Schizosaccharomyces pombe: one gene and its partner. The protein of the gene in region 1 purifies or fractionates together with the protein of each later gene. This does not show direct contact. Each region holds a gene or a part of one and is shown on either strand. Other genes may lie near its edges.

The links. Proteins that work in one complex are often made in the same cells at the same time.
Region 2: the proteins of exo5 (region 1) and ssb1 purify together in Schizosaccharomyces pombe (co-purification; one study listed by BioGRID). This does not show direct contact.

Annotation. Positions count from the first base shown.
Region 1 is NC_003423.3:2,770,956-2,774,711, reverse strand, and holds exo5 (single-strand DNA-specific 5'-3' exodeoxyribonuclease Exo5), read right to left. Parts: upstream 1,860-3,756; 5' UTR 1,829-1,859; coding exon 1,666-1,828; exon of another isoform or gene 1,611-1,665; coding exon 1,546-1,610; exon of another isoform or gene 1,396-1,545; coding exon 619-1,395; intron 490-618; coding exon 265-489; downstream 1-264. Other genes in the region: SPOM_SPBC685.03 (uncharacterized protein), read right to left, coding at 1-15; INCENP-like protein Pic1, read right to left, coding at 2,342-3,756.
Region 2 is NC_003423.3:219,268-223,023, forward strand, and holds the start of ssb1 (DNA replication factor A subunit Ssb1), read right to left. Parts: upstream 2,032-3,756; 5' UTR 1,994-2,031; coding exon 1,953-1,993; intron 1,884-1,952; coding exon 95-1,883; 3' UTR 1-94. Other genes in the region: M phase inhibitor protein kinase Mik1, read left to right, coding at 2,432-3,640, 3,709-3,756. UniProt on the Schizosaccharomyces pombe protein: As part of the replication protein A (RPA/RP-A), a single-stranded DNA-binding heterotrimeric complex, may play an essential role in DNA replication, recombination and repair.

The sequences.
Region 1 (3,756 bases):
ACCAAAGAATTGCATCGTCACCGAGATCTAGAAAATGCAATAAAAAAACCATGCTCTTTTAAATAGAGATTTAACACAAATTATATCGATTACATAGAAATGATTTCAATTGCCTCTTAAAGATTGATAAAAAAATTAAAAGTTGATGACTTCAACAACCTAGCAGCCCTATCAAAATATGATGGAAGAAAATCGTTGCTAAACATATAGGATGCCAATGACCAACTATGTTCTGGGAATCTTTTCAACTGTCATTATTCCCAATTACGGACTTGAAAGAGGGTAATACTGTTTCTTTTTGAGCCACCAACATTCTTTCTGAAATTCACAACTTCGGCATTTGTAGACTTCCTCTGCAGGAACGCCTTCAGGCTCCCTTAAATTGTGCCAAAATTGATAAGCCTTAGTATAGGAAGCTTCTAATAATTTATTGCTAAAAGAGAATTTGTCTTTGTATACCACTTCTCCTGTTTTGTCATTCCTGTATGCCTAGTAAAAGATGTTAGTAACGATAGTTCAGACAATCATATTACGAAAAGGATTCTAATCATCGTAAAAAAAATTAAAAGTTGTAATGATAACGAAATAATTTTCGAGTTAATTGGTTGTGTCACTTACAATGGTAAGATTGTCATCAGTAAGACGTAAATGCAACTTCTTAGCTGAAGCAAATACGAGTGCATAAAGTCCATTTAGCGAGTTATGACCTGCAAAGACATCTTCAGGAATATCGGGAATTGAAAGAATTGATTGCTCTAAAAATTTCGGCCCCAAGTCCTTGGTGCCGTCCAGCGATAGTTGGCTCAAAAACATGTTCCACCAGTGACTTTGAGAATGAAGTCTGTTAGAATATGTAGGAGAAATATCCCTAAAAATGCTTTGTTGTTTTTCTCCTAGAGAGGGGAAATAATTTAAAAAGAGATGAACGTAATACATTAGTTGTACTTTGGAACTAAGAATTTGTGAAGCTCCAGGCTTTCTGGAAGAAAACCGAGTTTTATTGTCAACAAAACTTAAATCGTACATTTTGAAATTGAAGTAATTGCGGATGTCACTATTAAAATTGCTTTTTGAAGGGTTGTTTAGACTTATTTCATCAATAATGCCAAAAATTGAGGACTCTTTGTAATATCCCCAGATTGGAAACTCTCTTGTAATTCCATTTTTTTGTAATAACATAATACCTTCTAATTGCCTTAATAATCGTAATGCCCATGGTTCCTCCTTGGATGTCCGATCAAGCACTCGACGTTCTGATGGAGGGGAGGTTTCATACTCAAGTATTTGATGCAGCTTAATTCCGCGTTCCATCTTCGGGGTCTTTTTTTTAATTCTTCTCAATAAATAGTATTCATGTTGCACTTCACACCACAAAGGTAAAACAAGGTCAGTAACCTAATAATAGGTTCTGTCAGTAAATGAAAAACATGCAATTGATTAATGCTTGTAAATGATTATGCTAAGAATAGCATTGTCTCAATCCGCTATTATAAATCTGTTGACAAAACCATAAAAAATCATTCACAAACTTCAGAAAGACCTTACATTTAAATAACCTTTGTGTTTTCGAAACAGTTGGAATAATGAACTTTCTTTTAACATTTCACAAACTGAACGTTGATTATTAGCTTGTCTGGTTCATGACTTGAGTGAAATATATCGTACCTTCGTCCTCTAGTTTAGAAATTTCCCTGCTTACGAGCAATTGTGGTGGAATGCTCAAAGAATAATCCAATTGGCTAATAGTCAATCTTTGTGTTTCAAGATAGTCCATATAAGAGACTAATTCGCTCAAATCTTCCATCTCAAAATCTTCATATTCTTCCATAGACTTAATGTTTCGTTAGGATGATTTATTCAGGTGCGGGTTACGTTAGTTCACACATTTAATAGAATAATTCTTTTTTTTAAAGTAACCAACCAGACGGTAAAAAAGCTTTACACTAGTTTTATTAAAATGGTGGAACGTAAATGTCTAGTGTAACCAAAACTAGCAATGTAAACTGTGCTAAACTATTGATGATAGAAGTACTTTCACAGTTTCTTTTCGTTCAAAGAAATTAAAACTTTGAACAAGTAGATTAAGTTTCTGGCAATGTCAAACTACGTTTGTTAATGGCTAATGTTATTGCGGCACAAAAACTAATTATCAGCGATGCTTCAATGTCTAAGATGGAGGTCTATTTCATTATAATTGTTATTAGTAGATTCAAAAACCTTTAATCTAATTTAATTTTGTCATCTAACTCTATGCAAATTGTTTCATAAGATAAATTAAAGTATTTCTCTATTAATTTCCCAGTTCTTTAATATACAAAATTCATTTCAAAAATCCAGAACTCTATAAAAAACCCATGTTTTTCTTATAGTTATCAATTTCTGCTTGGGTCAAACGATCTTGAGATGACCAGTCAGCAGAAGAGCTTCTTGGTCGAAATCGAATCTTCGATCGATCCTTCGATCGGAAATACTCATCCATTTGCAGAGGTTTAATCATACCGAAAATTTTGTCTGGATCCCACTTTTGTTGTCGTTTTAATTGCTCTCGTAACTCAGGTGATTCAGCCCACGATGGTAAATTTACCTTTTTCTTATTACCTTCATCATCTGAATCATCCGAATAATCGCTATTTATTTCTGGTAATTCCACAGACGTGTTAGGCGATAGGGATCCATATCCAGGAAAATAATTCGACTTAGGCGTTTTCAGTAACGGTGATTTAGAAGAGGGCTCCTGCATAGACGAGTTCCTACCTTTAGCTGGAGCGTGCATAGAAGCTTTTTCAATAAAAGGTTTATTTGATTGTGAAGTACTAGAAGATGGAAGCTTTCCTTTCATAATACCATTCTGCTTAGTAAAAGGGTTGACGTTGTGATGCATTGTTTTGAATCCATGTTGATTCGTAAGACCGACATTACCATGTACGGGATTCTTATTTTTTTGTGCAGCTATCTTCTTTTTTCGATCTTCATTCTGACTATTAGTGGTCCCTATATCGAAGTTGTTTCTCAAACTACCAACAGAAGGCTGAGTTACAGAAGTAACTGAGTCAGGCTCCATTTTTTTTGGAATAGTTGAATGAAATGCCAATGACATGTCCTCAGCTAGCTCATTCGCAAACCTTTGAGTGGGTTTCGACGTGACGCGTGTTAACCCAGATTTTAGCATATGCCTTGAAGTTGCACCGTTGTCGGTTAACGGTTTCTTCTTTCGTAAATCTTCTTGTCTTTTTAACATATTTGAATGCCATGAAGCATTCACATTTGATGGGTTAGTAACAAGTCTTTTGGTCGTTGGTTTTTCTGATTTTTCCTCAAATGGCTTATTTGAGTGCATGCTTTTACTTGATGGTATAGCATCTGGTTCAGAACGAGGTTTATCGGAAATAGTATGTTCCATATCCCTAATGTTAGATGAATTGGCTGATGTGACAGTTTTGGTCTGACGACTTGGAAATTCGTTGTTTGATAACTCTCGTTCTTTACCATAGAACTTTTTGAAGCGATGAGTTTCGTTTTCAGAAGAGCGGCTTTCCATATTTGAAGCATTTGCTGCTCCATTTTTTGCTTTTCGCTTTTCAGTTTGCTCAAGTTCGCGTTGAGAGGCTGTGGCCACACGAATTGCAATCGGACGTGAATGCGGAGCAAAGTTGTGATCAGAATTTTGACGAGAATCATCATGCAATGGTTCAGATAACTTGTGCAGAGATTTTTCAATAAATTCCTTCTTGGAAGGCGGCAAAGAAGAGTCCGTAT
Region 2 (3,756 bases), 2.6 Mb from region 1:
TTGTAATCAATGTATGCAAAATCATAAATCGTAGTTTTCGCGATTTAAGCCAAAAACTCAATTACTCGACCAGCGAGACGTAAAACACAATGTTTTATTGAGCAGACTCAATGAAATTTATCAATCTTTTAGACTCTTCCTTCCAGTCCATTTGATTAATTGACATCACTGTATAGCGTACTCGCATTTCACCTTTAAAATTGTCTTGCTTAGCACGACATTGAAAGATATATGGCATATAGCAAGCTTCTGCCATACAATTCATAAAGGCATTTTCGTCGTTTTCTTGTAGATCATTCAATTCGTCTGCCGTTTTATGCATGATTAATTTACCGACGTCGTCAAAGACGTTGAGCCAGAGTTGTCCCGTATGATCACCTACAGCAATAGTTATAATATAACGGTATTGAGGAGCATCATATTCTTTATTACATTTCTCACATCGCCAGGAGCCACCTTGATCAAAAACCTTTTTGTTGCAATCAGCAGCAGGGCAAGCAGGATATGACACGTTTTTCTTTCGAATGTAAACAATGGTGCCCTTTAAGCTAAAATAATCGGGTGTTTCTGACATTCCCAGATGTTCGGCTTGAACCTCAGCAATATTTTTACGTTCAGCACTCCTTCCAGTAGTAGATAAAGTAGATGAAATTACGCTATGTTTGGCAAATTCCTGCCCTCTACCCTGTCCATCATACCAACCTTTTAACAAATGAGATTCCTGGATATCTGGATCTACCGACATGGTGCTGCTAGTTAACATTGACAAAGAGCGTCCTTGAAAGTCATTAACTTTAACTCCTTTGAAAGCGAGAATACTTTCTTCAGAAACAGAGAATTCAATAGCTGTCTTTCCCCAAAGCGTAACACGCATTTCATATCCTGTTTGGTCAACGATAGTGATATCACGCTTGTCAAATCCACGAGAAGTTGCACGACTGGTAATTTGTTGAACTGGTCCAACGTTTTGGAGTACACCAATTACATCGATAACAGCATCTTTGGCAACATCGCCGACTTCTTGTAGAGAAACAAAACTAAACTTCGCAACGGGGACGGCAGTTTGATCCTCAGCTTTCCTTATTTCAGTATCACGTTCAAACATCAGCTCATACTCGTTTTGAACATTGGTATATTGTTTTTTTGCAATGTTCACACGACAACGAGATATATAATAAACCGAACCTTCCTGTAAGATATCATAAAAAGCATCAACCTGGTCATTAAAGCCTGTTGCACGAATCTCCCCACTTTCATCGAGTAAATTTACGCTAAAAAGCTTTCCTTCACCTCGTTGATTATGCCAATGTTTAACCTCAGATTTGTTAGTAACACGGGCACGAATAGTCCATTTATTCTGATATGGAGAGAGACCTTCAATTGGGTAGATTATTGTGCTAAGGCTATTCGGCGCTGCTGGCTTCTTCATCATGGGAGGTGGAGCCGGTGCTGTAGCTGCAGCATTGTTTCCATAAAATGAGTTAGTGCTTGTCGAAATACCTGTTCGTGGTGCGCTAGCATTGTTTTGCTCATTTTGCTGCTGCCGTAAAGCGTCAACTGTTTCTAAACCAGCGGGATTACCAATTTTATCCATTACGCCAAGTTCAGTTAAAACATTCAAACCAAGAACAATCAAAATTTTTCTTTCTTTCATAACGTTTACAGTGAATTGGGTAAGCTGTACGAACGCTCCTTTTTGAAGTTTATTTTCGGCAACCAAATGGTTCAGCTGGGTGCTTAACATAGATTGCGCATAATTGATTGAATCGGAAAGGACAACACGATATCTTTTAGGAGCACCAGAAGTTGGATTTGAGTTTAGCTCCTTCACGGTTAAGACTTGGAGAATTGGATTAGGAGGAAAAGACGAAGCATCGGATGTACTAAAGAAACGTGTTAACATCCCAATTTGTCGAAATCTTTTGAGTATATAATTTGGACAGTTAACTTACTTGATTATACGAAGTGCACCCACGGATAATCGCTCAGCCATGTTTGCAAATTCTTTTTTTTTTAATTAGTGGTTGGTTTAAGGCAAAAGAACGAAGCCGCGTCGCGTTATCCCAAATGAAAAACGCGAACGCGTCATGACGCGTCGTAACACATTTTAATATTACGCGTAACTTTAAGATGTGTTGTTTGTGTACGTGCATGTCAACAATGGTTGTTTACTTTCAAAGTTATCCTTTGCGCACAACACATTGCTATAGAAAAGCCCTTAAAAGCTGAAAAGAATAGTAGTGTTATTTAATTCTCTACAAAAGGAAATAAATCCTTTGTGATTTTCCTTTTGTTGGAAGAGTTGAACTACATTATCATCTGCATATTATTTATTATTTAGGAAAACCGGAGATATCAAAGTGAAAACGGGATTTTAACAGCTAATAAGCAAAAAAATATAACTTTATTTACATTCAGGTTTCAGTTAAAGATGGATTCATCAACCACCATCCCAATTACTCCAACGCGAACACCATGTTTTTTTAATATATCCTCTTCGTTTAATGAGCATTCTCCATTAAATTTCTACGATGAACCCATTTACAATTTTTCGTCTGGCCATGAAGAAAATCAGAGCCATAAGTCATCAAAACTGACATTCTTTAAACCTTCCAATACAAAAAGAAGTCCACATACCCCTATGCAAAATAATGCAAAAGCCATCAGATTATCCACTACAGTTCGCCACGGAATTTTTAAGAATTCAGATCTCGATGGGTGTAGCAAACCATTTGCATTTTCGAGCGGCTTGAAGTTATCCAAAAAAATTGTGGATGCTTCAACGCCAATTGATTTAAAACGAAAAAGGGCGGTGACTTCTTTAAGCACAGGACTGTTATCAAAACGTGAAAAGTGGTCATTATGGGAAGGGAATTTGACTAATCCAAGAAGTGAACAACCTCATACACCTTGTAAAAAGGGAACGAAAATAAAATTAAAACCACCTCAATCTCCGCTGTCACCCACTACCTCTCTTTTAGCTCGCAAATGTAAACATATCGACCTAGATACTTTTAGTCGGTTGGATCATCCAAACTCTGACAGCTCGGATGAAACGTTTGAAATGGAAGAACTTCCTTCTTTGTCTTATGGTTCAGAGGACTTGTTGGAATTTTGCGAAACGCCTTGCAAGAGTCAGCCTATTTTCCTTTCAAGTTCCCACGTTAATAACTGGGATGAGAAAGACGTACCTTCTTCATTAAGTTGGACACCTACCAGTCCAATTTTTTTAAACATCAACAGCGCAGATGATTACGAAGAAGAGGAAGATTGGACTAGTGATCTTCGAATTCGATTCCAACAAGTTAAGCCGATACACGAGAGTGATTTTTCATTTGTATATCATGTGTCTTCGATCAACCCACCTACTGAAACGGTTTACGTTGTAAAAATGTTAAAAAAAAATGCAGCCAAGTTTACAGGAAAAGAGCGTCACTTACAGGAAGTATCTATTTTGCAACGCTTGCAAGCATGTCCATTTGTAGTAAATCTAGTGAACGTTTGGAGCTACAATGATAATATATTTTTGCAATTAGATTATTGTGAAAACGGAGACCTAAGTTTATTTTTAAGCGAATTGGGATTATTGCAGGTCATGGATCCTTTTCGCGTGTGGAAAATGTTGTTTCAACTAACTCAAGTAAGTTATTACATATTTAAAAGTCGCGTTCCACAGACACGTCATTTGAATTCACTAACCGAACATAGGCATTAAATTTCATTCATCTTTTAGAATTTGTTCATTTAGACGTTAAG